Anolis sagrei: one gene and its partners. The protein of the gene in region 2 purifies or fractionates together with the protein of the main gene of each other region. This does not show direct contact. Links are inferred from orthologs where the notes say so. Each region holds a gene or a part of one and is shown on either strand. Other genes may lie near its edges. The genes, in order: RMND5A, MAEA and MKLN1.

Region 1 (10,611 bases), on a different chromosome or scaffold from region 2:
CTGTGTGCAATTCTGGGCACCACAATTCAAGAGAGATATTGACAAGCTGGAATGTGTCCAGAGGAGGGCGACTAAAATGATCAAGGGTCTGGAGAACAAGTCCTATGAGGTGTGGCTTAAAGAGCTGGGCATGTTTAGCCTGAAGAGAAGGCTGAGAGAAGACATGATAGCCATGTATGTGAGAGAAACCAACTGATCCCTAACCCATCTAAAACACAGACGTGCGCCTTTCACCTCAAGAACAGACAAGCATCCCGAGCTCTGAGGATTACCTGGGAAGGAATCCCACTGGAGCATTGCAACACATCCAAATACCTGGGAGTCACTTTGGACCGTGCTCTGACCTACAAGAAGAGCTGCCTGAACATCAAACAAAAAGTGGGCACTAGAAACAACATCATACGAAAGCTGACTGGCACAACCTGGGGATCACAACCAGACACAGTGAAGACATCTGCCCTTGCGCTATGCTACTCTGCTGCTGAGTACGCATGCCCAGTGTGGAACACATCTCACCACACTAAAACAGTAGATGTGGCTCTTAATGAGACATGCTGCATTATCACAGGGTGTCTGCGCCCCACACCACTGAAGAAATTACACTGTTTAGCCGGTATTGCACCACCTGACATCTGCCAGGAAGTTGCAGCCAATAGTGAAAGGACCAAAGCAGAGACATCTCCAGCTCATCCCGTTTGGGTATCAGCCAGCACGTCAACGACTTAAATCAAGACATAGTTTTCTTAGATCTACAGAGACACTCGCTGGAACACCCCAGCAAGCGAGAGTCCAAAAGTGGCAGGCCTAAACCCAGCACCTCAATTCATGGGTGATACCAGATGAGAGACTCCCCCCTGGACACACAGAAGACTGGGCGACTTGGAAGGCGCTGAACAGACTGTGCTCTGGCACCACGAGATGCAGAGCCAACCTTCAGAAATGGGGCTACAGGGTGGAATCCTCGGCATGTGAGTGCGGAGAAGAACAAACCACTGACCACCTGCTGCAATGCACCCTGTGCCCTGCCACATGCACAATGGAGGACCTTCTTGCGGCAACCCCAGAGGCACTCCAAGTGGCCAGATACTGGTCAAAGAACATTTAACCAAATACCAAATTTGCAAAATCTGTGTGGTTTTTTTTCTCCTTTTTCTTTTTCCTTTTTCTTTTTAATCTGTGTGTTTGTTTTGCTCTGTTAGAATTGTAATACAATGGTTGCTGATGACACGATAAATAAATAAAATGTGAGAGGAAATCATAGGGAGGAGGGAGCAAGCTTGTTTTCTACTTCCTTGGAGACTAGGATGCAGACAATGGCTTCAAACTACAAGAAAGGAGATTCCATCTGAACATTAGGAAGAACATCTTAACTGTGAGACCTGTTTAGCAGTGGAACTCCCTGCCCTGGAGTGTGGTGGAGGCTCCTTCTTTGGAAGCTTTTAAACAGAGGCTGGATGGCCATCTGTCAGGGGTGATTTAAATGCAATTTTCCTGCTTCTTGGCAGGGGGTTGGACTGGATGGCTCATGAGATCTCTTCCGATTCTATTTGTGTAAATTTGGGCCTATATATAATCCACATTGAACTCGATTATATGGTACTGTGGACTCAGATAACCTTGTTCAAAACAGACATTGTGGGATTTTCTGCCTTGATATTATGGGTTATATGGCTATGTGAGAAGATCAGAAGTTGAGGTCGAGTATCCGCTTTTTCAATTGTGAGGCCCACAAGCTGTTTTTCTATCGCTAGCCAGCAAGCGACGGAAGTTAAACCAATGGCGGGAAGACCCCGAGGAGTCACTTCCGCTTTCCAGCCTGTGTTTACTCATTAGACCTCACATATAAACAAACAACACCCCCCCCCCCCTTTTTCCCACACTGTCTGTCAAAGCTCTTGACGCAAAAAGTCCGAAATGGGCAGGCAATGAGGGACTCCAATTGGAGGCCAGTCTTAGGTGCCTGAGTTAATGCCTGACTTGAATACGCAGAGATGTGTTTATCTAGTGTAGAACAATAGACTGAAGTGTAGATTCACACACAGTTCTCCACTTTTGGGTTCATTGAAAGGACTTTCCAACTGAAATTATCCTACACTTTGGGATTTCCCTGATATGGGCAAACTTCTGCCCTCCGGGTGTTTTGGACTTCTAGATTATTGATGTGGCCATACCAGGTGACAGTTGCATTGAGGAAAACCTCATCCGTTATCAGGACCTCAATATTGAACTGCAAAGGCTCTGGCATAAACCAGTACGGGTGGTCCCAGTGGTCACTGGCGCACTGGGTGCCATGCCAAAAGATCTCAGACGGCATTTGGAAACAATTAACATCGACAAAATCACGATCTTTCAACTGCAAAAGGCCACCTTACTTGGATCTGCGTGCATCATTCGGCAATACATCACACAGTCCTAGATGCTTGGAAAGTGTTCGACTTGTGATTTTGAGATACGAAATCCAGCATATAGATCTCGTTTGCTGTGACATACTGTGCTTTTGTGTCAGTATAATAATAATAATAATAATATTTATTTATACCCCGCCACCATCTCCCCAAAGGGACGGCTTACATGAGGCCAAGCCCAATAATACAATTACAATAAAATGGGTTGTAGGTTTTTTCGGGCTGCATGGCCATGGTCTAGAGGCATTCTCTCCTGACGTTTCGCCTGCATCTATGGCAAGCATCCTCAGATAATGTTTTAATGTGTATGGTGCTGATATTTTAATCGTGTAATGAAGTGGCATTGTGTTGTTATTGTATATTTTTTGTATGTTAACACATGTTGTGAACCGGTCCGAATCCCTCTTTGAAGGTGAGAGGGTTGGTATATAAAACCTCGAAATAAATAATAATAAATCAGAGGTAGTGAGGTCTGTTGGAACTAGGAAAAGGGGTTTATATCTGTGTGGAATGACCAGGGTGAGACGAAGGACACTTGTCTGCTGGAGCTAGGTGTGAATGTTTCAACTAACCACCTTGATTAGCATACAATGGGCTGACTGTGCCTCGAGCAAACTTTTGTTGAGAGGTAATTAGATGTCCCTGCCTGCTTCCTCTCTGTTGTTGTGCTGTTTCAATTTTAGAGTTTTTTAATACTAGTAGCCAGATTGTGTTCATTTTCATGGTTTCCTCCTTTCTGTTGAAATTGTCCACATGCCAATAATACAATTACAATAAAATGAATACAAAACTGCAAAAATTGTTGTTGTTGTTCATTCGTTCAGTCATCTCCGACTCTTTGTGACCTCATGGACCAGCCCACGCTAGAGCTCCCTGTCGGCCGTCACCACCCCCAGCTCCTTCAAGGTCAGCCCAATCACTTCAAAGATGCCATGCATCCATCTTGCTCTTGGTCGGCCCCTCTTCCTTTTGCCTTCCACTTTCCCAGGCATAATTGTCTTCTCTAAGCTTTGCTGTCTCCTCATGATGTGGCCAGAGTACATCAACTTTGTCTCTAGTATCCTTCCCTCCAATGAGCAGTCGGGCTTTATTTCCTGGAGGATGGACTGGTTGGATCTTCTCGCAGTCCAAGGCACTCTCAGAACTTTCCTCCAACACCACAGCTCAAAAGCATCGATCTTCCTTCGCTCAGCCTTCCCTAAGGTCCAGCTCTCACATCCGTAGGTTACTACAGGGAATACCATTGCTTTAACTATGCGGATCTTCGTTGCCAGTGTGATGTCTCTACTCTTTACTATTTTATTGAGATTGGACATTGCTCTCCTCCCAAGAAGTAAATGTCTTCTGATTTCCTGGCTACAGTCTGCATCTGCAGTAATATTTGCACTTAGAAATACAAAGTCTGCCACTGCCCCCACGTTTTCTCCCTCTATTTCCCAGTTGTCAATCATGCTTGTTGCCATAATCGTTTTTTTAATGTTTAGCTGCAACCCAGCTTTTGCGCTTTCTTTTTTCACCTTGATTAGAAGGCTCCTCAGCTCCTCTTCTCTTCTGGCTATCAAAGTGTTATCATCTGCATATCTAAGGTTGTTAATGGGTTGTTGTAGGTTTTTCGGGCTATATGGCCATGTTCTAGAGGCATTCTCTCCTGACGTTTTGCCTGCATCTATGGCAAGCATCCTCAGAGATAGTGAGGTCTTTTGTAACTAGGAAAATGTGTTTATATATATGTGGAATGAGCAGGGTGGGACAAAGAACTCTTGTCTGTTGGAGCTAGGTGTGAATGTTTCAACTGACCACCTTGATTAGCATTTGATGGCCTGGCAGTTGTTTGGTGTGGCTTGTTGGTGCCCGGGGCAATCTTTTGTTGAGAGGTGATTAGATGTCCCTGATTGCTTCCCTTTATTGTTTTGCTGTTGTAATTTTAGTGTTTTTTAATACTGGTAGCCAGATTTTGTTCATTTTCATGGTTTCCTCCTTGAACTAAATCTGGCTACCAGTATTAAAAAAACTCTAAAATTACCACTGCAAAACAACAGAGGGAAAACAATATCACCTCTCAACAAAAGATTGCCCCCAGGCACCAACAAGCCACACCAAACAATACAATAATTAAAATGAAGAACAATTTTAACAAATATAAACTTATTAGTATTTCAATGGGAAGTGTGGGCCAGCTTTTGGCTGATGAGATAGGATTGTTGTTGTGTGCTTTCAGGTCATTTCAGACTTAGGTTGACCCTGAGCGAGGGCCGGGTAAATGACCTTGGAGGGCCGTATTCGACACCCGGGCCTTAGTTTGAGGACCCCTGCTCTAGAACATGGCCATACATCCCGAAAAGACCTACAACAACCTCGTGATTCCGGCCATGAAAGCCTTCGAAAGTAAGGTTAATGTTTCTTCCAGCAATTTTAACCCCAGCCTTGCATTCCTCAAGCCCCGCACATTGCATGATATGTTCTTGCTATAAGTTGAATAGGTTGGGTGAGAGTATACAACCCTGCCGTACCATGGTCAGTTCGTATTGTTGCTACTTGGTCCTTATAAACGTCCCCGGCCCAAATTACCTGTCCAAACGAATCTCCCTCTATGTACCATCGCGGAGAATAAGATCCTTCGGGGAGGCCCTGCTTTCCATCCCGCCATTGTCACAGGCGTGATTGGTGGGGACGAGAGACAGGGCCTTCTCGGTGATAGCTCCCCCGCCAATGGAACTCCCTTCCTTGTGAGATCAGGTCAGCCCCCTCCCTCCTGTCCTTTAGAAGGATGGTAAAAACTTGGCTGTGGGACCAAGCTTTCGGGACAGGGCAATGAAGCAACAATGGGAAAGATGACAGGGCCAGTTGGATTTGATGCGGATGGCTAGGACGGTTTTAAAATGTGTTATTTTAAATGGTGTATTTTAATATTTGTTGATGTTCATTCGTTCAGTCGTCTCCGACTCTTCGTGACCTCATGGACCAGCCCACGCCAGAGCTCCCTGTCGGCCGTTACCACCCCCTCAAGGTCAGTCCAGTCACTTCAAGGATGCCATCCATCCATCTTGCCCTTGGTCGGCCCCTCTTCCTTTTGCCTTCCACTTTCCCCAACATAATTGTCTTCTCTAGGCTTTCCTGTCTCCTCATGATGTGGCCAAAGTACTTCAACTTTGTCTCTAGTATCTTTCCCTCCAGTGAGCAGTCGGGCTTTATTTCCTGGAGGATGGACTGGTTGGATCTTCTCGCAGTCCAAGGCACTCAAGCTCCAGCGCCCCGGCAAGGCGGTGATCCTTTGCTGGAGATTTTAATATTTAGATAAATGATATTTAGATAAATGTTTTTTAATGTTTATGTATTGTATCCAGGCATTGAATGTTTGCCATGTATATGCTGTGCTCCACTCTGAGTCCCCTTTGGGGTGAGAAGGGCAGAATATAAATGTTTTAAATTGATAATAATAAATTATACAGATTCCTCAGGAGAGAGACAAGGTGATTCGGTATGCCCATACCACCAAGAACTTGTCACAAATGTATTATGATCCACATAGTCAAAGGCTTTAGAATAGCCAATAAAACAGAAATAGATGTTTTTCTGAAACTCCCTTCCTTTCTCCATTATTCAGTGAATATTGGCAATTTGGTCTCTCGTTCCATAAACAGTGCCCATAAGCAGTGGGAAAAATACTCCAAATACACCCGGAAGCATTCTCTGTGAGCTAAGCAATGCGTTTCTCTACAACTTCCTAGATCTATGAGTCAGCGTCCAATCAAACAGCACGGCTGAGGAACTCGGGGTTGTTTTTCGGCGCCGCCTGTGACGCAGCGCCAGCCCTGCTCGGGAAAGGACCCCGCTCGTCTATTGCGCTGCCTGCAAAAACAACCCCCACCACCAGCCCGGGTTGGCCTCGGGGTCTGTTTGCGGGAGCTCCGTGGGCCGGAGCGGCGGGAAAAAGTGGCCATGGACCAGTGCGTGACGGTGGAGCGCGAGCTGGAGAAGGTGCTGCAGAAGTTCTCGGGCTACGGGCAGCTCTGCGAGCGGAGCCTGGAGGAGCTGATCCAGTACGTGGCCGGACTGCGCCGCGAGATCCTCCAAAGCGAGAGTAGGTGCCCCCTCCCCTCCTCCCCCCCTCCGGTTGCCCTTGGCAACGAGGCCTACCTGTGGTCAGTCTCTCCTGGGAGCCCGGCGTTTGCGCTTCACTTGGTCAACGTGTCTTTGAAGAGAGGTTGGCGGGAAGGAAACTTCACTTATGGCTCGTTTGCATCAGCCTTCAAAGGGCCCTCAACTAGACTATACTTTTTGTCCATAGTGGTCAGTTCTCTTTAGTTTTGACCCAGTTTGCGTCCCCAGGTGTTTTTGAAGGCTAATTCCCATCCCTTTACATCAGTGTTTCTCAACCTGGGGGTCGGGACCCCTGAGGGGGTCGCGAGGGGGTGTCAGAGGGGTCGCCAAAGACCATAAGAAAACACAGTATTTTCTGATGGTCATGGGGATTCCATGTGGGAAGTTTGAGCCAATTCTATGGTTGATGGAGTTCAGAATGTTCTTTGATTGAAATGAACTATAAATCCCAGCAACTACAACTCCCAAATGTCAAGATCTATTTTCCCCGGACTCCACCAGTGTTCACATTTGGGCATATTGAGTATTCATGCCAAGTTTGGTCCAGATCCACCATTGCATGAGTCCACAGTGCTCTCTGGATATAGGTGAACTACAACTCCCAAATTCAAGGTCAATGCCCATCATAGAATCATAGAATCTAAGAGTTGGAAGAGACCTCATTGGCCATCCAGTCCAACCCCCTGCCAAGAAGCAGGAACATCGCATTCAAATAACCCCCGACAGATGGCCATCCAGCCTCTGTTTAAAAGCTTCCAAAGAAGGAGCCTCCACCACACTCTGGGGCAGAGAGTTCCACTGCTGAACGGCTCTCACAGTCAGGAAGTTCTTCCTCATCTTCAGATGGAATCTCCTCTCTTGTAGTTTGAAGCCATTGTTCCGCGTCCCAGTCTCCAGGGAAGTAGAAAACAAGCTTGCTCCCTCCTCCCTGTGGCTTCCTCTCACATATTTATACATGGCTATCATATCCCCTCTCAGCCTTCTCTTCTTCAGGCTAAACATGCCCAGCTCCTTAAGCCGTTCCTCCTAGGGCTTGTTCTCCAGACCTTTTATCATTTTAGTCGCTCTCCTCTGGATACATTCCAGCTTGTCAATATCTCTCTTCAATTGTGGGGCCCAGAATTGGACACAATATTCCAGGTGTGGTCTAACCAAAGCGGAATAGAGGGGTAGCATTACTTCCTTAGATCTAGACACTATGCTCCTATTGATGCAGGCCAAAATCCCATTGGCTTTTTTTGCCGCCACATCACATTGTTGGCTCATGTTTAACTTGTTGTCCACAAGGACTCCAAGATCTTTTTCACACGTACTGCTCTCGAGCCAGGCATCCCCCATTCTGTATCTCTATCAAACCCTTCCAATGTTATTCATTGGTCATGGGAGTCAAGTTTGGTTCAAATCCATCGCTGGTGGAGTTCGGAATGTTCTTTGATTATAAGTGAACTATAAATCCTAGCAACTACAACTACCAAATTACAAAATCAATCCTCGCCCAACCCCACTAGCATTCACATTTGGGTGTATTGGGTATTTGTGCCCAGTTTGGTCCAGTGAATGAAAATGCATCCTGCATATCAGATATTTACATTATGATTGATAACAGTAGTAAAATGACTTATGAAGTAGCAATGAAAACAATATTATGGTTGAGGGTCACCAGAACATGGGGGACTGGATTAAGGGGTCACGCCATTAGGAAGGTTGAGAACCACTGCTTTACATTGTCCGCCATACAGACTGAGGAGAATGGGAATTGCAACCCAACAACACTTGTGGCTGTGCGGTTAGGGGGAAAGGTCAGAGGACATTTTAAAGCCCAGCATCATTTTTACTATTTACTAGCCATCCCCTGCCACGCATTGCTGTGGCGGCCCACATCGGGGTTCTGTGTGGGAAGTTTGGCCCAATTCTATTGTTGGTGGGGTTCAGAATGCTCTGTGATTGAAGGTGGACTATAAATCCCAGCAGCTAGAACTCCCAAATGTCAAGATTCTATTTTCCCCAAACTCCACCAGTGTTCACATTTGGGCATATTGAGTATTCGTGTAGAGCAGGGATCCACGAACTTTTAAAACAGAGGGCCAGGTCACAGTCCCTCAGACTGTGGATGGCCGGATTATAATTTGGAAAAAAAGAATGAATTCCTATGCACACTGCACGTATCTTATTTGTAGTGCAAAAAACACTTTAGAACAGGGGTCCTCAAACTAAGGCCCGGGGGCCAGATGCGGCCCTCCAAGGTCATTTACCCAGCCCTCGCTGAGGGTCAACCTAAGTCTGAAACGACTTGAAAGCACACAACAACAACAATCCTATTTCATCAACCAAAAGCTGGCCCACACTTCCCATTGAAATACTAATAAGTTTATATTTGTTAAGATTGTTCATTTTAATTATTGTATTGGTTTCTAATTGTTTTTTTGCACTACAAATAAGATATGTGCAGTATGCATAGGAAGTCATTCATGTTTTTTCAAATTATAATCCGGCCCTCCAACAGTTTGAGGGACTATGACCTGGCCCTCTGTTTAAAAAGTTTGGGGACCCCTGCTTTAGAACAATACAATAATTAAAATGAAGAACAATTTTAACAAATATAAACCTATTAGTATTTCATTAGGAAGCGTGGGCCTGTTATTGGCTGATGAGATAGGATTGTTGTTGTTGTTGTGGTTGTGTGCTTTCAAGTCGTTTCAGACTTAGGTTGACCCTGAATGAGGTAAATGACCTTGGAGGGCCGTATTCGGCCCCCGGGCCGTAGTTTGAGGACCCCTGGTGTAGAGCTTGGTCCAGATCAATCATTGTTTGAGTCCACAGTGATCTCTGAATGTAGGTGAACTACAACTTCAAAACCAAAGGACACTGCCCACCAAACCCTTCCAGTATTTTCTTTTGAACATGGGAGAACCGTGTGCCAAGTTTGGTTCAATTCCATCGTTGGTGGGGTTCAGAATGTTCTTTGATTGTAGGTGAACTATAAATCCCAGCAACTACAACTCCCAAATGACAAAATCAATTTTTATGAGTGAAGGACATACATTGGGTTGTTAGGTGTCTTGTGTCCAAATTTGGTGTCAATTCGTCCGGTGGTTTTTGGGTTCTGTTAATCCCACAATCAAACATTACATTTTTATTTATATAGATTTATTGTATTTTTACTCCGCTCTATCTCAGCCCCGACGGGGACTCGGAGCAGCTTCCTAATTGTCAACAGTTCAGTGCCCCATTAAAACATAAAACATACAAAATACATAATGCATTAAAATCATAAAAACAGAGACATATAAATACAGGGTGCAGCAGCATAACTTCCTTTTTTCAAAACTTAATAAAACCCATTGTATGAATCAGGATTTTTTAAATAATGTAAGCGCATTATATAATGCAGACGCAGACTGCAGCCAGGAAATCAGGAGCAGGGGGGGCTCAACCATTACACAAAGTAAGCATTCGCAGTATAGTTGATTTTGCCCAGAGGCGCTCTTGAGATGCCCTTCCGGGAAAATAGACCTTGACATATGCGAGTTGTAGTTACTGGGATGTATAGTTCACCTACAATCAGAGAGCATTCTGAACTCCACCAATGATGGAATTGAACCAAATATGGCACACAGAACTCCCACGACGAACAGAAAATATATATCAGTGATTGGCGGGGGGCGTACCAAAATACTATTTGCTTACCGTTGAAAATTACCAAGGGCCGTCTCTGATCAGGAGACACTTCTTGGGAGGAGAGCAATGACAAATCTTGATAAAATAGTGAAGATTAGAGACATCACACTGGCAGCAAAGATCCGCATAGTCAAAGCAATGGTATTCCCCGTAGTAACCTACGGAAGATAGATGCTTTTGAACTGTGGTGTTGGAGGAAAGTGCTGAGAGTGCCTTGGACTGCAAGAAGATCCAACCAGTCCATACTTCAGGAAATATAGCCTGACTGCTCATTGGAGGGAAGAATAGTAGAGGCCAAGATGAAGTACTTTGGCCACATAATGAGAAGACAGGAAAGCTCAGAGAAGACAATGATGCTGGGGGAAATGGAAGGAAAAAAGAAGAGGGGCCAACCAAGGGCAAGATGGATGGATGGTATCCTTGAAGT
Region 2 (10,330 bases):
CAATCCAGTAAAGGAGAGGAAGTCTACAATTATGATGCTTGCCTTTCACTCCATTATAATGACACTCTGTATAGCACAGTGAACTCCTGCATATCCCTCTCACTATCAGAAACATTGCTTAGCTGAAGAATGGGCCTAAAAGTTGCAACGGGGAGGAAGAAATTTGGTACCGCTATCTTGAGATCAATGGCCATGGAATGCCCATAGTCACATTCAGGTCTAAAAGCATCCTGAAGCTACAAGCCTTCTTTGGAGGAGATATGCCAACCCATCCAGAACAGATTTAAAATCATTTTCCAGAACAACTGGAATCTATCTACCGTGCCTCTTGATTTCTGGATTCAGTCTCAGTCTATTTGTTTGTAGGAAGCTGAAGGAATTCACTACTGTAGAATTGGTTAGGATGCCAGCTGAAATTTGAAAAAAATAAGAAAACCTTCTCTACCAATCAGGAGGAGGCAAGAGATCCAGCCAAGCCAGAAAGGACAGAAGCTACTTGCCCACACTGGGTAATCAGTCCCAGTGAGGAGAGGTTGTGGGAGTAACAAGCAGTTCAGGAAGAGCTGGCCAGGAAAAGTTCACAAAGAGGGAGAAACAATTAGTGGACCTATTTGATGTCCCATAACAATTAGTCAGGCAGAGCTGACACAACCTGACTACCCTTTCTGGGACAACCATGTAAGAACTATTGGAAGTATGCAAACAAACATCAAACGTAGCAGCCTCAGAAGCATCCCTTGTGTAAAACTAGCTTCTCCATATCAGGCCTCCTCCCACACATTCCTTTCAAGCTGTAGTTAGTGAAACCTTTCCCTAGAATGGTGTGGAAACACAACACATGACCTTGGGAAATCATACTATCTTATCCTCAAATGAAGGAAAATGAACATCCCCTCTGAACAAATTTTGCCAAGAAACCCCTGTGATAAGTTTGCTGTTGTATTGTGGTAAGTCAGAAATGCCGCTTGGCTCTGCCTTGGGCTTGAGAAGTTTTTGATCTGACTTGAATAAGCTCCTCCAACATCTCTCTCTTCCTTTAGTGCCCCTTTTGGGATCTAGAAATCTTAACCAGCAGAGCAGCTCTGCTGGCAAAGTACTCTATCAGATATTCGAGATAAGCTGTCAGAAGAGAACCTGCCAGCAGGGAGGCACTTACTTACGCCAGAGAGAAAACACCTATGCTCAATCAGTTCAGTGCAATGCTGACTTAGCATCTTCTTTTTAATATTCCTTGAAGATGCCATTTTAATGCACTTTTACAGATTAAGAAAATTTGTTCAGAATTGTTCTCACTTTTCTATTTCTCATAGTTTTTTGTCTGGAAAGGAGATTAAAAAATCCATATATTTATAAATATAAATATGAAGGCATAAAATATGCTTCTAACAGATAATGTCATGACTTTCCTCTGAGACAGGAGCACTGTAAGAGTGTTTGGGGCAGGGCTGGTGCATTTGCAGCTTTGGTGCGTCAGCTCTGAAGGAACAGCTGCCTAGATAAGGTAGGCAGCAGACAGCAGTCACCTGCTGGTCTCCCATCCATTGAAAGAGACACCAAGTCAACTTGGAGAATTCACCCTGCTTCCTGGACCCTGGGAACTATACAATGACTACTTTTTGGGCATAGAATCAATTGAATCATAGAGTTGGAAGAGTCCACACGGGCCATCCAGTCCAATGCCTTGCTGTGCAGGAAAAGCACAATCAAAGTACCCCTTACAGATGGCCATACAGTATGTTTAAAAGCCTTCAAAGAAGGAGCCCCCGTCACACTCCAAGACAGAGAGTTCCACTGCTGAACAGCTCTTATGGTCAGAAAGTTCTTCCTAATACTTATGCGGAATCTCCTTTCCTGTAATTTGAACCCATTGCTCCGAGTCCTAGTTTCCATAGCAGCAGAAAACAAGCCCACTCCCTCTACTTTATGGCATCATTTCAAATATTTAAACATTGCTATCATGTCTCTTCTCACCCTTCTCTTCTGCAGGCTAAAAATGCTCGGCTCCTTAAGATGTTCTTCATAGTATTTGGTATCCAAACCTTTGACCATTTTAGTCACTCTCCCATGGACATATTCTAGCTTGTCAATATCTCTCTTAAATTGTGGTGCCCAGAAATGGACACAGTGTGATTCCAGGTGAGGTTTGACCATTGTTGGTTTCCTCAGTAACTAACACATCCCATTGCTTCTTGGCTACTGGCCTTCCAATTACTACATGGCCTCTCTCCTCTCACAGTGAATTGCAAAAGTTAATTAATTCAGTGTTGACAGGTGTAATCCCTAACAATGGAGCAATGAATCCATTCCAGGTGTTTCTCTGAAGCCCCAAAAAGCTATCCAAGGTGCTGAACTGCATCCCCAAAATGTGGTTCTTTAAATTTCAGACTAAAGGCAAAGCAGATGTAACAATTTCACTGACCTGTGAGCAGCAACACATCTGCTTGGAAAGAAGTTCCTCAGAGCATATTATGGGCAGATGCATCCCATCACATTCTTTCACACAATGCATCAAACTGCATTCACACATGTATATAACTTGAAGAACCAAGGAATAAGACAATGCCATTACTCAGCTGAAAGGCCATAAACACATCTGCATATTTTTCTATTTAGTTTTAAGCAATTCCATGCTACTGAGGCACAAATGATTAAACAGTGGCTTAAATACAGAGCACAAAACAAGACTGACAATCCAAACCAGGCAGCAGATAAGAAAAGGGGGGGGGGGTGTTTGGGAGGGAGGAATAGAAAGCAGCAACCTCTGGCATCAATACTTAAAGTAAAACAGCAGTTCCCATCCTGTAAGGACCACCTGGAATATAAACAATTTTAGGAGAAAAGAAACAAGAGCTGAGAGGATAAAATTTGCTTCCTGTCTCCTTCTGCTGCGGCTTTTTTTTTCATGCGAGGAGTGACTTGAGAAACTGCAAGTCGCTTCTGGTGTGAGAGAATTGCCCATCTGCAAGGACATTGCCCAGGGGATGCCTGGATCTTTTACCATCCTGTGGGAGGCTTTGCTCATGTCCCCACATGGGAAGTTGGAGCTGACAGACGGGAACTCACCCCATTCCCTGGATAAAAAACCCCAACCTTTCAGTTGGCAGTCCTGCTGGCACAAGGGTTTAATCCAGTGGTTTTCAACCTGGGAGTCCGCAGGTGTTTTGGCATACAACTCCCAGGAATCCCAGCCAATTTGCCAGCTGTTTTGGATTTCTGGGAGCTGAAGGCCAAAATATCTGGGGACCCACACGTTGAGAACTACTGGTTTAACCCATTGCACCACCAGGAGCTTTGCATGAAAGAAAATGCTCAGGAGCTCAGAAGTTGTTCAAGAAAGGCTACAGCTGTATTTTGAATATTCTAATCAGAGTGATGGGACCTGCTTTTTGCTGCTGAAGATCACCATTGTCTTTGACTATTTTCACTTCTAAGAAAGTGTTAGAAGATAGGAATGAAAAGTAAGGCCCCTTTTACACTACCAGATAATCTAGGTTATTAAAGCAGAAAATCCACATTATCTGATTTGAACTGGATTATCTTAGTCTACACTGCCATATAATCCAGTTCAAAACAGATAATGTGGATTTCATATAGCTGTGTAGAAGGAACCTAGCACTAAGGCCCCTTCCACACAACTGAACAAAATCCCACATTTTCTGCTTTGAATTGGAATATATGGCAGTGTGGACACAGATAACGCAGTTCAAAGCAGATATTCTGGAATATAGGGCTGTGCGGAAGGGCCCTTAGACAAGTCACACTCTCTTAGCGTCAGAGGAAGGGTTGCAAAGAAACCCCATGACGGGATCACCAGAAGTGAGCCTCCTCGAAGACACAGAACAGCCCTCTTTGGCTGAGAGCAAAGCCCTTCGCAGAGGGCCCTTCGACACAGCCTTATATCCCAGAATATCAAGGCAGGAAATCCCACATAATCTGAGTGTGGACTCAAATAACCCAGTTCAAAGCTGTGTGGAAGGGTCCAGAGACATACTTTTAAACAAACAAGAGCCTAATGCCAGTAACCAAGATCCGCAATCAAGATCTGCATAGTAAAAGCAATGGTATTCCCCGTAGTGACCTATGGATGTGAGAGCTGGACCATAGGGAAGGTGAGCGAAGGAAGATAGATGCTTTTGTACTGTGGTGTTGGAGGAAAGTGCTGAGAGTGCCTTGGACCAGCAGAAGATCCAACTAGTCCATAGTCCAGGAAATAATGCCCAACTGTTCATTGGTGGGAAGGATAGTAGAGGCCTATGATGAAGTACTTTGGCCACATCATGAGACGAAAGGAAAGTTTGGAGAAGACAATGATGGTGGGGAAAATGGAAGGAAAAAAGGAAGAGGGGCCAATCAAGGGCAAGATGGATGGATGGCATCCTTGAAGTGACTGGACTGACCTTGAAGGAGCTGGGGGTGGTGACGGCTGACAGGGAGCTCTGGCGTGGGCTGGTCCATGAGGTCACAAAGAGTCGGAAGCGACTGAATGAATAAACAACAACAATGCTAGTATTTATTTATTTCGTCTCAAAAGCATTGCATAAATTAGTATAAAACTGATAAAATAGAAGGTATGAAGGCGGCTAAATATCTTTTGACCAAAAATGGGCAACAGCAATGGCATTATTTATTTATTTAAAACATTTATAGTCTGCCTTTCTCACCCCAAAGGGGACTCAGGGTGGAGCACAGCATATACATGGCAAACATTCAATGCCGGGACACAGATTCACATAAAATACATAAACATTAAAAAAAATCAAAATATTAAAATACACCATTTAAAACCATCCTAGTCATCCAGGTCAAATCCAATTGGCCCTGTCATCTTTCCCATTGCCGCTTTATTGCCCTGTCCCGAAAGCTTGGTCCCACAGCCAAGTTTGTACCATCCTTCTAAAGGACAGGAGGGAGGGAGCCGACCTGATCTCACCAGGAAGGGAGTTCCATAGCCAGGGAGCAATCACCGAGAAGGCCCTGTCTCTCGTCTCCACCAATCGTGCCTGTGAAAATGGTGGGACGGAAAGCAGTGCCTCCCCGGAGGATCTTAATCTCCGTGATGGTTCATAGAGGGAGATGCATTCGGACAGGTAATTTGGACCGGGGCCGTTTAGGGCTTTATAGGCCAAATCCAGCACATTGAATTGTGCCCGGTAGCAAACCGGCAGCCAGTGGAGCTGGCCCCAGTTATTAACCTGGCTGCCTGTCGTTGGACTATTTGAAGCTTCCGAGCAGTCTTCAAAGGCAACCCAACGTAGAGTGCATTGCAGTAGTCTATCCTAGATGTAACGGGAGCGTGGACCACCGTGGCCAAGTCTGACTTCCCAAGGTACGGGCGCAGCTGGTGCACAAGTTTAAATTGTGCGAACGCTCCCCTGGCCACCGCTGCAACCTGGGATTCCAGGCTTAGTGATGAATCCAGGAGAACTCCCAAGCTGCGAACCTGTAGCCTCCAACACTTCCTCCTCTGTATATGAGGCAGGGCGCAATGGACAAGCATACAGATTGTCCACTGCTCCACAGTCACACAAGGTGTGGGATTCTTTTAGGTAGTGCCATTTTGCCAGGTAAAGGAAAGGGGAACTAGCTCGCCGGTGCCAGGGGCCCTTCCCCTCACTCAAAGGCAGATCTAAGCGCGCTTCTGCTTTCCTACCACACTGCATCCAGTTTGAACGTAGACCTATTCTGGACCTTTACCTCTCTGTGCCTGCCTGTCTCTTCCTTGCTTGTACCAAGAACCAAATCAAAACTCCCGCCTCCCGCTTTGGGTTTGTAAGTCCCGCCCACCCTTCGAGCATCCGGCTCCGATTGGGCCAAAGCACGCTGACAACATTTGACACCGGGTCGTGTCAGTTATATTTTCCTGGCCTTCGTTAAACCCCGCCCGGCCCCTCGCCTCTCCTCCAATCAACGCTGTCGTTCCAAACTCTTTCAGTGGTTTGCACAGAATATACACCTCATAAAAGAAAAGAGAGTCCGGGTCGGGAAGAGATCTAAGAAGGACAATATGATTGGTTGCTTGCCTCGCCTCGCGACCGCCCATTCCTGGCCAACCATTCGGGCTTGAGGGCCAGGGGGGCGGGGCGGAAAGCGAAGCCTTTATTCGGCCGAAGCGCCGTCTGTCAGGAGACTGAGACGAGGAGGCGGAAGCGCTCCATTACCCAGAGTGCAGCGCGGGGCCTGTCTAGAGAGCGTCCCTTCGCTTTTGGAGAAGGAAGGCAGCAAGCAAGGAAGGGAGGGAGGGGGCTGTTGGCGTTAAGGAGCCGCTGAGGGAAGAGGAGGAGGAAGAGGAGGAAGGCGGTGGCAGTGGTGCCGCGGCGTCCTCCTCAGCGCCCGGTGCCCAAGATGGCGGTGCAGGAATCCGCGGCTCAGCTCTCAATGACTTTGAAGGTGCAGGAGTACCCCACGCTCAAGGTGGGTGCCTGCCGCCTGGGCCTCCTTCGCTCACTCCCAGCGCTGGGCCAGGCCTCTCACTCTCCCTTCCCTTCCCTTCGAGGGCGACTCCCGGGAGGGGGCAGGGCTGGCCTACTTCCGCCTGGCTTCCTCTTCCTCCCAGGCGGGGCCCGGTCCCTTCCCTCCTTCCTTCCCCGCGGCCACAAAACGGGAGGCTGCTCCCCGGGGCCTTCAGCCGAGGATTTCACGGCTCAGCGGCGGTTGGCAGCGAGAGGAGGCCGGGGGCGGGCCCTTTGCAGATTCCTTTATTGTGTGGCAGTGGTGGGAGGGGATGCGCCTGCCCTCCGTCGTCGCCCCGTCACACTGGCGCTTCTCCGTCAAACACCTGCTGAGGTTTTCTTTTGAACACCGCTCTTTGTGATTTGGGAGCTTTGACGGGAAGGCCTTTTGGCCTCTATTGCCCTCATGGGTCGATGGTTTTTGTAAATTGCTTCCAAATAAATTAGTGTTAAAATGCTTGACATCCATCAAACAAAAACATTTTTTTTTAAAACAGACAAATGAGCAAACCAGAGAGCCTGAAAATAATGACTTCGACTGTTTAAGAAGGATAGTGTCAAATTCGTTTTCTTAGGGCCCTTTAACCCAGGACCTGATCCCAATTTTTCTGTTTATCCCAGATTATCTGGAAATGCAGACTCATATAATCCAGTTTAAAGAAGAAAACCAGGGATCAGATCCTGGAATATAGGGCCTGTCTAGAAAACAAGTGTCACATTTTACAGTGCAATAGAAAGGGCCCAGTTCACACAACCTCTGAAGATGCCTGCAATAGATGTGTTGTTGTTGTTTTTTTCCATGTTAGGATTTTGGCCTGCATCTATAGGAGTATAGTGTCTAGATCCAGGGATGTCATGCTACCCCTCTATTCCGCTTTGGTTAGACCACACCTGGAATATTGTGTCCAATTCTGGGCACCACAATTGAAGAGAGATATTGACAAGCTGGAATGTGTCCAGAGACGGGCGACTAAAATGATCAAGGGTCTGGAGAACATGCCCTATGAGGAGTGGCTTAAAGAGCTGGACATATTTAGCCTGAAGAAGAGAAGGCTGAGAGGATACATTATAGCCATGTATAAATAAGTTCTAGGGAGGAGGGAGTGAACTTGTTTTCTGCTGCCCTGGAGACTAGGATGTGGAACAATGGCTTCAAACTACAAGAAAGGAGATTCCATCTGAACATTAGGAAGAACTTCCTGAGTGTGAGAGCCGTTCAGCAGTGGAACTCTCTGCCACGGAGTGTGGTAGAGGCTCTTTCCTTGGAAGCTTTTAAATAGAGACCGGATGGCCATCTGTGGGGGGGTGTTTTGAATGCAATTTTCTTGCCTCTTGGCAGAGGGTTGGACTGGATAGCCCATGAGGTCTCTTCCAACTCTATGATTCTATGACTTAAGAAACTGCAAGTGGCTTCTGATATAAGAAAATTATCTGCATGCAAGGACGTTGCCCAGGGGATGCCCAGATGTTTGATGATTTACTATCCTTTTGCAAGGCTTCTCTCATGTCCCCTCATGGGGAGCTGACAGAGGGAGCTCAACCCACTCTCCCCAGATTCGAACCAGTGACCTGTCAGTTAGCAGTCCTGCTGGCACAAGGGTTTAACCATTGTGCCACCAGGGGCGCCTCATAGATGTGGGTGGAACATCAGGAAATAATGCTTTTGTAACATGGCCGTGCAGTCTGGAAAACTCACAGCAACCCAGTGATTCTGGCCATGAAAGCCTTCAACAACACAATCTTTAGATAAAAATAAATGTCTTTGTTACCTGCCTCCCTATGGCTCAAAGTGGGGCACAACATGGTTAAAATATGCAAATAAAATATAATGCTCTTCAAATGCATATATTACAGTATGCAGAACAGAGTCTGGCAGCAATACTATGCCTGAAAGATCGACTATGATGTCCAGCTAGAACAGCTTAGTATGCAGATAGCTGTATATGAAACCCTTTAGGGAGGCCTTTTATGGCTTGAAAGTTATAGCAGTTACAGCCTGTTGAATTAGATCTGGTAACAGACTTAAGAGCCAATGTAGCTCATTTTTATGGCTCTGAATTCAAGCTAGTAAACTAGTTGCCATGTTCTGTAATCACTGGAGTTTCTACCTCCAGATGGGAATCATATAGCTTTCTAGCCCTAGTAAGCACAGGCAGTGATGTAACATGATTGGTACAGCAATTCCAACCATATTTTGAAGAGTTTTGAAGGACAGCCTCACTTAAACAGTCTGGAGAGGATGTTTCCATGGGATGCATCTGAGGCCACACTGTCTAGTCATTGGAATACACTGGTGCATTAAACAATGTTCTTTTTTTTAGTGCTTTAGACCTCTAGAGATCAGTCTGGATTTTACAGTATCCCAAAGCTACAAATCAGATCCATCTTGGACATCACTGTCCCAACTTTGTTCATTCCAGGTGCCTATTTAGCATTTTCTTAGCACCATCTGAATTTGATGAAAAGATCTTATTTCAACAGCAGATTGAAGATACTGAAATTATGGTGACAAAGAACTGCATGGAGGATACAAAAAGGCCCTTTTAAACCTGATAGTATGAGTGCTATGGACCAGTAATATTTCAGCATTACTTTCTAGAATGCAGGATCTATATATGAATGGAACCTACCACTGATGGGATTGAAAGAAGATACAGGAAAATGTGCATTGATATATAATCTCCTTTTTCAGTTTTAACAAGTGCTGTAAATGAGATTGGAATGGACCTAGAAAATTGGAAAATCCACTCATGAGCACTAGGTGTTAAAAGCACCTTCCCCAAAAAAGGAGTATCTGTATGGTCATTCGATAATTGATATAAGTTAAATGCCCAATGTATGATGATAGAAGGGTGTCAGGTGTGTTTTCTGCATTATACTTATGAGAAGGTGGTAAAACTATTTACCATATATTATACTTACATGTAAGCTAAAAATAGACAAAAAAATCACTCATCAAACCTTGGATCAACTTGTACAGTGGTCAGTGCTAGAAGCACTCACACCCTGTACACCTCCCTCATTCAAACCAAAGAGAGAAAAAGGAGTCTCCTCCCTCCCTTGCCTTTTTGGTCTGAGAAGTGCTCAGTAATATGGAGGCACTTGAAGAATTTTGCACATCTGCCATTTTGGGATTGAGGTGGATTGCAATGATGGCAGCCATTTGAAAAGTCTGTAAGACCCTATTGAAAATTGCTATTACAGTCACTACAGAGAAGCTTATGTAAGAAGACATTAAAATATAGCCACCATCACTCCCCTACACTTCAGGTGCCCAAAATGTCAAGTAAATCACCTTGCTTGGGATCTTCCATGTTGCTGATGATGCCACAGGTTGAAAGAGAAGGTCTGTAAGGAGGGAGGACTGCCCTTTCTTTTGTTTTGCCAAGGAGCAATAATGGGGTGGGAGTACTTCTTGATACTGCCTCATGCACTGATGCCCTAATAGAGAGCAGATTGCTTTCCGTGTTCTTATTCATTTTCTTAATTTATGTTCCTTTCCTTGCCCATATTTGTGAAGATGTTGGCACAAATTAATAGAATTGGAGTATGTGTAGATTAATAATGCAATGTAAACATACCCCAATTGTAACCCTTCCAACAAACAGTTGCTTTCCTCTTTAGCTCTTTTAAAGTATAGTTCCTGCATACATTTTAAAGGCTATCAGATTTGTTATATGCCCCAAAGTTTTACCTTCAGCTTCAAGCAAAATTCATAATTTTCACTCCAAATCTTGCCCTCTACTTATATATGAGGTTGATTTATACACAAGTATATAATGTAATATGAATCCTTTGAAAGAGTGTTCTTCATGTCACTAAGTACAGAAAGAGAATCCAAACACAATCTAGAGCAGTATTTCTCAGACTCTACTTCTCCA
Region 3 (10,789 bases), on a different chromosome or scaffold from region 2:
GCAGTTCGATCTTTAAATTATTATTATTATTATCATCATCATCTACACCAGGGGTCCTCAAACTAAGGCCCGGGGGCTGGATGCGGCCCGCCAAGGTCATTTACCCAGCCCTTGCGCAGGGTCAACCTAAGTCTGAAACTACCTGAAAGCACACAACAACAACAATCCTATCTCATCAGCCAAAAGCAGGCCAACACATCCCACTTAAATACTAATAAGTTTATATTTGTTAAAATTGTTCTTCATTTTAATTGGTGTATTGTTTTTAAGTGTTCTTTGCACTACAAATAAGATATGTGCAGTGTGCATAGGAATTCATTCATGTTTTTTTCAAATTATAATCCGGTCCTCCAACAGTTTGAGGGACTGTGACCTGGCCCTCTGTTTAAAAAGTTTGAGGACCCCTGATCTACACCGTAGAATTACTACCAAAAACTCTTCCCATATTAAATTACTATTACTACTCTGTCTTGCAGGTGTTGTTGGCTTGTTGATATCATAATTACACTATTAATTTTACTTCTAATGAACTTTTGGTGTTTCTGTAAACCAATGTCTGTGTCGATGTTTTATATTGAGTGAAGTTACTTGACAGGCTAGGCTACCATTTAATTTGTGGCAGCAAGTTCAATTCGATTGTAGGTGTCGGTTTATTTTGGGACTTGGCCGGGTTGTTATTGTATTTACATTTGAACTGATGGTCTTGTCAAGGCATTAAATGTTTGTCTTTTGTTTGTTGAAATCTGCTCTGAGTCCCTTTGGGGAGATAGGTCAGGTAACAAATAAAGTCTTATTAGGTTGTTGTAGGTTTTTTCGGGCTATATGGCCATGTTCTAAAGGCATTTTCTTCTGACGTTTCGCCTGCATCTATGGCAAGCATGCTCAGAGGTAGTGAGGTCTGTTGGAACTAGGAAAAAGAGGTTTATATATCTGTAGAATGACCAGGGTGGGACAAAGGACTCTTGTCTGTTCAAAGCAGGACAAGTGCAAAGAAGCCAGAATGGATGTCCAAAGAACTTCTAACTGTGCTAAGACACAAAAGAGACATGCACAAGAAGTGGAAAAAGGGAGAAATCACCAAAGAAGAATTCAAACAAATAGCCAACACCTGTAGGGAAAAGGTCCGCAAGGCTAAAGCAAAAAACGAGCTCAGACTTGCCAGGGACATTAAAAACAATAAAAAGGGCTTCTATTCTTATGTCAGTAGAAAAAGGAAAAACAAGGAGGCGATAGGACCTCTTCGAGGAGAAGATGGGGCAATGCTGACAGGGGATAGGGAAAAGGCAGAACTACTTAATGCCTTCTTTGCCTCGGTCTTCTCACAAAAAGAGAGTCTTCAACCTCAGCAAGATGGAGCGGATGAGGGATTGGAGGACATCCAACCCCAAATTGGGAAAGAAGTCGTCCAGGAATACCTGGCCGCTCTTAATGAGTTCAAGTCCCCAGGGCCAGATCAACTACACCCCAGAGTATTGAAGGAACTAGCTGAAGTCATTTCGGAACCATTGGCAACCATCTTTGAGAGTTCTTGGAGAACGGGAGAAGTTCCAGCAGATTGGAGGAGGGCCAATGTGGTCCCAATCTTCAAGAAGGGAAAAAAGGACGACCCAAACAACTACCGTCCGGTCAGCCTCACGTCGATACCGGGCAAGATTCTGGAAAAGATTGTTAAGGAAGTGGTCTGCAAACACTTAGAAACAAATGCAGTCATCGCTAATAGTCAACATGGATTTATCAAAAACAAGTCATGCCAGACTAATCTGATCTCTTTCTTCGATAGAGCTACAAGCTGGGTAGATGCAGGGAATGCCGTGGATGTAGCGTACCTGGATTTCAGTAAGGCCTTCGACAAGGTCCCCCATGACCTTCTGGCAAGGAAACTAGTCCAATGTGGGCTAGGCAAAACTACGGTGAGGTGGATCTGTAATTGGTTAAGTGGACGAACACAGAGAGTGCTCACTAATGCTTCCTCTTCATCTTGGAAAGAAGTGACAAGTGGAGTGCCGCAGGGTTCCGTCCTGGGCCCGGTCCTGTTCAACATCTTTATTAACGACTTAGATGAAGGGCTAGAAGGCATGATCATCAAGTTTGCAGACGACACCAAATTGGGAGGGATAGCCAATAGTCCAGAGGACAGGAGCAGAATTCAAAACGATCTTGACAGATTAGAGAGATGGGCCAAAACTAACAAAATGAAGTTCAACAGTGACAAATGCAAGATACTCCACTTTGGCAGAAAAAATGAAATGCAAAGATACAGAATGGGGGACGCCTGGCTCGAGAGCAGTACGTGTGAAAAAGATCTTGGAGTCCTCGTGGACAACAAGTTAAACATGAGCCAACAATGTGATGTGGCGGCAAAAAAAGCCAATGGGATTTTGGCCTGCATCAATAGAAGCATAGTGTCTAGATCTAAGGAAGTAATGCTACCCCTCTATTCTGCTTTGGTTAGACCACATCTGGAATATTGTGTCCAATTCTGGGCACCACAATTCAAGAGAGATGTTGACAAGCTGGAAAATGTCCAGAGGAGGGCGACTAAAATGATCAAGGGTCTGGAGAACAAGCCCTATGAGGAGCGGCTTAGGGAACTGGGCATGTTTAGCCTGAAGAAGAGAAGGCTGAGAGGAGATATGATAGCCATGTATAAATATGTGAGAGGAAGCCACAGGGAGGAGGGAGCAAGCTTGTTTTCTGCTTCCTTGAAGACTAGGACGCGGAACAATGGCTTCAAACTACAAGAGAGGAGATTCCATCTGAACATTAGGAAGAACTTCCTGACTGTGAGAGCCGTTCAGCAGTGGAACTCTCTGCCCCGGAGTGTGGTGGAGGCTCCTTCTTTGGAAGCTTTTAAGCAGAGGCTGGATGGCCATTTGTCAGGGGTGATTTGAATGCAATATTCCTGCTTCTTGGCAGGGGGTTGGACTGGATGGCCCATGAGGTCTCTTCCAACTCTATGATTCTATGTTGGAGCTAGGTGTGAATATTTTAACTGACCACCTTGATTAGCATTTGAATGCCTGGCAGTCCCTGGAGCAATCTTTTGTTGAGAGGTGATTAGATGTCCTTGTTTGTTTCCTCTCTGTTGTTGTGCTGTTCTAATTTTAGAGTGTTTTAATACTTCTAGTCAGATTTTGTTCATTTTCATGGTTTCCTCCTTTCTGTTGAAATTGTCCACATGCTTGTGTATTTCAATGGCTTCTCTGTGTAGTCTGACATGGTGGTTGTGAGAGTGGTCCAGCATTTCTGTGTTCTCAAATAATATACTGTGTCCAGGTTGATTCATCAGGTGCTTTGCTATGGCTGACTTCTCTGGGTGAAGTGGTCTGCAGTGCCTTTCATGTTCCTTGATTCGTGTTTGGCCGCTGCCATACTTCTGAGGATGCTTGCCATAGATGCAGGAGAAACGTCAGGAGAAAAATTGCCTCCAGAACATGGCCATATAGCCCGGAAAAACCTACAACAACCCATGGATTCCGGCCATGAAAGCCTTCGACAATACAATACACTGAATGTTTATCGTTTGTTTGTTGAAATCTGCTCTGAGTCCCTTTGGGGAGATAGGGTGGGTTACAAATTTTATTTATTTATTTATTTATTTGTTGTGTCAGAGCAACCAGTCCATTATATTACATTTGTAACAGAACAAACAGACAAATACAAAACTTGTGAGTTTGGTAGTTGGTTAAATGTCCTTTGGTTACATATAAAGTCTTATTTGTAGAATTAATGCAGTTCAACGCCACTCTGAATTTAGGGTGCCAAGATTCCTGATACAAAAAGGCCCCACCTGTAATATTCCTTTTTGTTATGGCATCTCTTTTGGTTGGGAAAATAATGAGGTTCGAGACACACACACACACCTTTAATTGCTATGGGTGAATGCTATGGAATCTTGGGAAATGTAGTTTCCCAAGGTTGCTTCACCAAACTGTAAGTCCTAGGATAGGACAGCATTGGGGAATGGCAGTTCAAAGTGGTGTCAAAGTGCATTCAATTTAGAGCAGGACTGGGCCAACTTGGGCCCTCCAGGTGTTTTGGACTCCAACTCCCACCATTCCTAACAGCCTACTACAGTTCCCAGAAGCCCCCAGCCTGCAAATGCAGGCTGGGGGCTTCTGGCAACTGTAGTAGGCTGTTAGGAATGGTGGGAGTTGGAGTCCAAAACACCTGGAGGGCCCAAGTTGGCCCAGGCCTGCTCTAGAGGCCTAGTCCCTGGCCTCCCCTCAGGAGGGGGCGGGGCAGGCTTCCGAGGCCTTCCCCTGACTTCCTCCTCGCTCCTCGGCCCTTCCCCCTCGACTCACTCCGGCAAATAAGTGGAGGAGAAGCTGCTCCATCGGTGCAACGTGTAGGCCAAGGCGCGGCTCTCGAGGGCGCTGTTCGGGCCGAAATCGAAGCCTAAACCGGGAGGGCCCGCCGCCGACGCCGCTGCCGCCGCCATTTTGTCATCAAAAGAGGATCCGCTAGAGAAGCAACGGAGCGTCGGCATTGCGCATGCGCGAGACGACACGTCCGGTTCCCCATCGCCTTGTGTTGACCTCCTCCTATTCCAAGATTACATATAAACCCGCAAGACCTTTAAAGAGCGTCGCTTGGGAGCCGGAAGTTTTTGTAAATTTTAACTATCTCTTTCAAAGAGGGGAGGGAAACTGGATGGAGAGCAAAGGGGAGCAAATGGCTGCTCTTAAAGGGCCCGCAGCGCATTTTGGATGCTCAGGGCTATTCAACTTATTTATTTTATTTATTTCACAGTTTTCTATACCGAGCTTCTCAACCTCATTGAGGGACTCCGCCCGGTTTCCAGCCATAAAAAACATATACATTCATTAAAATATCATATATCACAAATTACAAAAACAACTTTAAAAACACTATATATAAAACTACAGTGGTCAGTCGTCCTATTAAGATGGATCTACATCAACTTCCATCCAGGGTCCTATGGTGTTGTCTCATTCATCGAAGGCCTGACTCCACAGCCACCTCTTCACCCGTTTCCTAAATGTTAGGATGGATGGGGCGGTTCTGGCCTCCAGAGGGAGAGAGTTCCAAAGTCGCGGGGCCATCACCGAGAAGGCCCTGTCCCTCGTCCCCACCAGGCGCGCTTGCGAGGCCGGTGGGACCGAGAGCAGGGCCTCTCCAGATGATCTTAATAATCTTGATGGTTCGTAGGGGAGAATACGTTCGGAGAGGTAAACAGGGCCGGAGTCGTTTAGGGCTTTATAGGTCAACACCAGCACTTTGAATTGTGCTCGGAAGCTAATTGGCAGCCAGTGGAGGTGGCGTAACAGCGGAGTGGTGTGCTCCCTGTACCCTGCTCCCGTTAGTAATCTGGCTGCCGCACGTTGGACTTGCTGCAGCTTCCGGGCAGTCTTCAAAGGCAACCCCACGTAGAGAGCGTTGCAGTAGTCTAAGCGGGATGTAACCAAAGCGTGTACTACCGTGGCCAACTGCCAAGAGTTTAGCAAGTTGGGCTGTTCACAACTATTTATTTTTGTTCGAGAGCAGTACATGTGAAAAAGATCTTGGAGTCCTCGTGGACAACAAGTTAAACATGAGCCAACAATGTGATGTGGCGGCAAAAAAAGCCAATGGGATTTTGGCCTGCATCAGTAGGAGCATAGTGTCTAGATCTAAGGAAGTAATGCTACCCCTCTATTCTGCTTTGGTTAGACCACATCTGGAATATTGTGTCCAATTCTGGGCACCACAATTCAAGAGAGATATTGACAAGCTGGAATGTGTCCAGAGGAGGGCGACTAAAATGATCAAGGGTCTGGAGAACAAGCCCTATGAGAAGCGGCTTAGGGAACTGGGCATGTTTAGCCTGAAGAAGAGAAGGCTGAGAGGAGATATGATAGCCATGTACAAATATGTGAGAGGAAGCAACAGGGAGGAGGGAGCAAGCTTGCTTTCTGCTTCCTTGGAGACTAGGATGCAATGGAACAATGGCTTCAAACTACAAGAGAGGAGATTCCATCTGAACATTGGGAAGAACTTCCTGACTCTGAGAGCCGTTCAGCAGTGGAACTCTCTGCCCCGGAGTGTGGTGGAGGCTCCTTCATTGGAAGCTTTTAAGCAGAGGCTGTATGGCCATCTGTCAGGGGTGATTTGAATGCAATATTCCTGCTTCTTGGCAGGGGGTTGGACTGGATGGCCCATGAGGTCTCTTCCAACTCTTTGATTCTATGATTCTATGATTCTATGATATCCTTCTTTATCTTGCCATACGGAGACTCACGATCAAAAACATTACAACTTCAAATATACAAATATACAATAATAGAACAGTATATCATTATATATTATTATATAGTATCAGAACTAATTATGTTTAATATATTAGTATTGCTATATTACAATATTATTATTATATATTATACTAGCCATCCCCTGCCACGCGTTGCTGTGGCCCACTCTGGTGGTCTTGGGTGTTCTGTGTGGGAGGTTTGGCCCAATTCTATCGTTGGTGGGGTTCAGAATGCTCTGTGATTGTGGGTGAACTACAAATCCCAGCAACTACAACTCCCAAATGTCAAGATTCTATTTTCCCAAAACTCCACCAGCGTCGACGTTTGGGCATATTGAGTATTCGTATAGAGTTTGGTCCAGATCCATCATTGAGTCCACAGTGCTCTCTGGATGTAGGTGAACTACAACTTCCAAAACCAAAGGACACTGCCCACCAAGCCCTTCTAGTATTTTCTGTTGGTCATGGGAGAATTGTGTGCCAAGTTTGGTTCAATTCCATCGTTGGTAGGGTTCCGAATGCTCTTTGATTGTAGGTGAACTATAAATCCCAGCTACTACAACTCCTAAATGACAAAATCAATTTTTTGAGTGAAGGACATATATTGGGTTGTTAGGTATCTTGTGTCCAAATTTGGTGTCAATTCATCCAGTAGTTTTTAAGTTCTTTTAATCCCACGAACGAACATTACATTTTTATTTACCAAATAATTGGACTTTGGGCTTATTCCATCACTTCTGCAGATAAAAGTCTGGGTTATGAACTTTTTGAGAAGTGTTAAATCAGATGCAGACTCTATTAAGTCAATCAAGCTGTTCTCACAGCGGTTAAGCAGGCCAACTGATTTTCAGGGCACTAATCAAAACTCTCTGGACGATGCAGGGACTCTGAAAAATACATAGCAGAGCCATGATGCACTAAAACAGTGACTAAAGCCAGCAGAATATGCAAGTATAAGGCATGGTGGCACATAAACCAAATTGAAACCAGGCACAGAAGAGTGGAGTGAAGCATGTGTATACCAGATGCCTGTAAGACATTTGCTAAGACCAGTTCTGGAACCAGATGCTGTTGCAGCCCGGGACTGAAAACACCTAAGACCACAGCATCACACAAGAGTCCACAACATAAGCAAACAATTTATTGTAAAAACACATAAAAATATATGAAAAGTCAGGAATAATGAAGGAAGATGTATAACCTAAAAAGGGGTTAGCAATAGGTGATAACCAAACAGTGTTCCAAATGCCTCATGCAGATCCCAAAGGAACACAGGAATAGCCCACAAGTACAGCATAAGTCCACAAGCAAAAGGTATACTTAGTAAACTTGAGCAGGAATACAAAAAGAAGAACATAGAAAACTTCCAGGATACTTAAATCCAAAACCAAGGCTTGACTTGAAACAAGAACCAGAGAACTCAGGCCTAGCTTCTCACTCGAATGCTAGGTTGCCTGAACTAACCCTTAGGTCAGTGGTTCTCAACCTGTGGCTCCCCAGATGTTTTTGGCCTTAAACTCCCAGAAATCCTAACAGCTGGTAAACTGGCTGAGATTTCTAGGAGTTGTAGGCCAAAACACCTGGGGACCCACAGACTGAGAACCACTGCCTTAGGTAAACAACTTGTTAATTAATAGAAAGCCATGAAATCTTTCCTTTCCCCATAAATATTTCCCCAACTTTCCCACATAATCGCTCTGAATGGTGCTGCCTATTTTCTGCTCTAATCTGTAAATGAAGACTTTTGTTGATCTCTGTAACCCCAGGTGTTTTTCTCTGGGAGCCTACCATATCACTTAGCTCTTCACACAACTCCTTGTCTAATGTTGTGGTTTCTGGCTCCTCTGACTGACCTTGAAGTCTTGCACTTTCTGAGTCAGATTTTTCCCAGAGAGAACCATCATTTCCCTGGCTTGAATCTTCATCACTTTGTGCCCCAGGAAATCCCACAAGAAATCCCACTATCCCCTCTAAATAATTGATGAATCTATCAGCCTCAGACTATATTGCAACAGATACAGAATAATCTATGAGCTCCATATCTGGCTTAGTTATTCCATATTACAAGTACTCTATCAGTTTTTTACTTTAGTGAAGATACTGAGAACCTTCTATAGTTTAATTTTTACTTTAGTGAAGATACTGAGAGCTATAGTTTAATTTTGTCATTCAAATATATTGAGATTGAGATACAATGGTGGTGATGTGTGTCTTCAGGCCATTTGTAGTTTATGGTGATGCTAAAGTTACCCTATAATGGGATTCATACAATTGGAAGAGACTTCAAGGGCCATCCAGTCTGACCCTCTTCTTCCAGTAGGAAGACACAATCAAAGCATTCCCAACAGATGGCTATCCAGCCTTTGCTTAAAATCCTCCAGAGAAGGCTTTTAAGCAGAGGCTGGATAGATTAGAGAGATGAGAAATAAAAGTTGAGAAATATATGCAATATCTCATCTCAACATACTAAGAACAGAGTTTCATAAATGAATAGATGCCAAACCACCTTCTAGAACAGGCGTGGGCAAACTCTGGCCCTCCAGGTGTTTTGGATTTCAAATCCCAATTGTGGGATTTGAAGTCCAAAACACTTGGAGGGCCAAAGTTTGCCCACGTCTGTTCTAGAAGGAAACTGTTTTGCTTTGGAGACGATCCTGATTGTGGCAGCTGACAGGCAACCAGGGATTTCAAGGAAGAGCTTTGTGTCTCCTTCGTGATGGAGATCTCTCTAAAGACATGACTCAGCTGATGAGCCAAGGAAGGAGCGGGCACAGAAAGCCAAAGCAGCAGCAGCAGCTCTACAAAGCTTGAACAGAGAAACCGAAAGAGACAGACAAGTGCACATTTTATCTCATGCAAGATTAGTGGGTGTGCTATCTGCACAAGCAGCTTGCTTGTTGTTTTGGAAATAAATAGATTACAAAGATGCTCTTCCTTTTTTTCTCCTCCCTTTGTGAAATTACATGTCCCTGGAAGATTCCGGGATGTGACAAGGTGGGGCTGAAAGAAGTAGTTCTGTTGTCGATTTACTTTTGGAACAATGTCAGTGAGGTTTTGTTTTTTGAAATTGAAATCTTATCCAGAATGCATCCACACTGTAGAATGAATGCCGTTTGACACCATGGCTCAGTGCTATGGAAGCCTGGGAGCTGACTTTTGGTGAAGAACCAGTACTGTTTGTCATGCCGTTGGAAGCTTCTGGGAACTGCATTCCAAAAGGGAACTTTTTCCAACCTCTGTGTGTCAGTATCATGATCTCTGTGGACCCAGACAGGACCAGATCTAATGGTTTTTAAGTGACAAGAGGGCAGTTTTTGATTGGACATTATGACTGTTTGACAATGGAACAAATTGTCTAGACATATGGTGAGTCTCCTTCTCTGGAGCCCTTTCTACACTGCCATATGATCCAGATTATCAAACATATTATCAAACATGGCCATCAGGTTCCACAATCAAGATCATCTCCAAAGTACAACAGTCTCCTTCTAGAACAGGCATGGGCAAATTTTGGCATGACAAACTTATGGCATGACAAACTTACGGCATGACAAACAGGACTGGTAATCCACATTATCTGCTTTGCACTGGATTACAAGAGTTCACACTGCTATATAATCCAGATTATCAAAGAAGATAATCTGGATTCTATATGGCAGTGTAGAAGGGCCCTAGATGTCTTCAAAAAGATGTTGGACAGCTCCATTAGGGATGTTTACGCTAGGAGTTCTTACCCTGAGCAGTGGTTGGACATCCAGCTTCATGATTATATGACTTAAACAGGGAGGGAAAGAAGGGAGGGAGGGAAAGAGGGGAGGGAAACAGAAAACTGGACAAAAAGGAAGGAAGGAAATAGGAATGTAATAAGGGGTGGAAGAAAGGAAAAGAAGGAAAAGATACTCAACTTAAGCTGAAAAAATGAAATGCAAAGATACAGAATGCCTGGCTCAACAGCAGTATGTGTGAAAAAGATCTTGGAGTCCTTGTGGGGAACAAGTTAAACATGAGCCAAACAATGTCATGTGGCAGCAAAAAAAGCCAATGGGATTTTGGCCTGCATCAATAGAAGGCTAGTGTCTAGATCCAGGGAAGTCATGCTACCCATGCTCTATTCTGCCTTGATTAGACCACACCTGGAATCACACTGTGTTCAATTTTAGGCACTGCAATTGAAGAGAGATGTTAACAAGCTGTAATGTGTCCAGGGGAGGACAACTCAAAGGATCAAGGGTCTGGAGAACAAGTCCTATGAGGATTGGCTTAAAGAGCTGGGCATGTTTAGCCTGCAGAAGAGACGGCTAAGAGGAGACATGATGAGGGCAATGGATCAGGATGTGAGGGGAAGTCATAGAGAGGAGGGAGCAAGCTTGTTTTCTGCTGCCCTGGAGACTAGGATGCAGAACAATGGCTTCAAACTACAGGAAAGAAAGGAGATTCCACCTGAACATGGGGAAGAACTTCCTCACTGTGAGAGCTGTTCAGCAGTGGAACTCTCTGTCCCAGAGTGTGATGGATGCTCCTTCTTCGGAAGCTTTTAAA

Evidence for each region.
Region 1: the proteins of MAEA (region 2) and RMND5A purify together in Homo sapiens (affinity purification with mass spectrometry; 5 studies listed by BioGRID and IntAct, counting the BioPlex papers as one, with this or other methods). This does not show direct contact. The link is inferred for Anolis sagrei from reciprocal best matches to the Homo sapiens genes MAEA and RMND5A.
Region 3: the proteins of MAEA (region 2) and MKLN1 purify together in Homo sapiens (affinity purification with western blotting; 3 studies listed by BioGRID and IntAct, with this or other methods). This does not show direct contact. The link is inferred for Anolis sagrei from reciprocal best matches to the Homo sapiens genes MAEA and MKLN1.

What each region holds. Positions count from the first base shown.
Region 1 is NC_090026.1:52,494,494-52,505,104, forward strand, and holds the start of RMND5A (E3 ubiquitin-protein transferase RMND5A), read left to right. Parts: upstream 1-6,186; 5' UTR 6,187-6,344; coding exon 6,345-6,486; intron 6,487-10,611.
Region 2 is NC_090023.1:143,472,465-143,482,794, reverse strand, and holds the start of MAEA (E3 ubiquitin-protein transferase MAEA), read left to right. Parts: upstream 1-6,118; 5' UTR 6,119-6,342; coding exon 6,343-6,411; intron 6,412-10,330.
Region 3 is NC_090025.1:190,750,167-190,760,955, reverse strand, and holds the start of MKLN1 (muskelin), read right to left. Parts: upstream 4,459-10,789; 5' UTR 4,442-4,458; coding exon 4,305-4,441; intron 1-4,304. UniProt on the Homo sapiens protein: Component of the CTLH E3 ubiquitin-protein ligase complex that selectively accepts ubiquitin from UBE2H and mediates ubiquitination and subsequent proteasomal degradation of the transcription factor HBP1.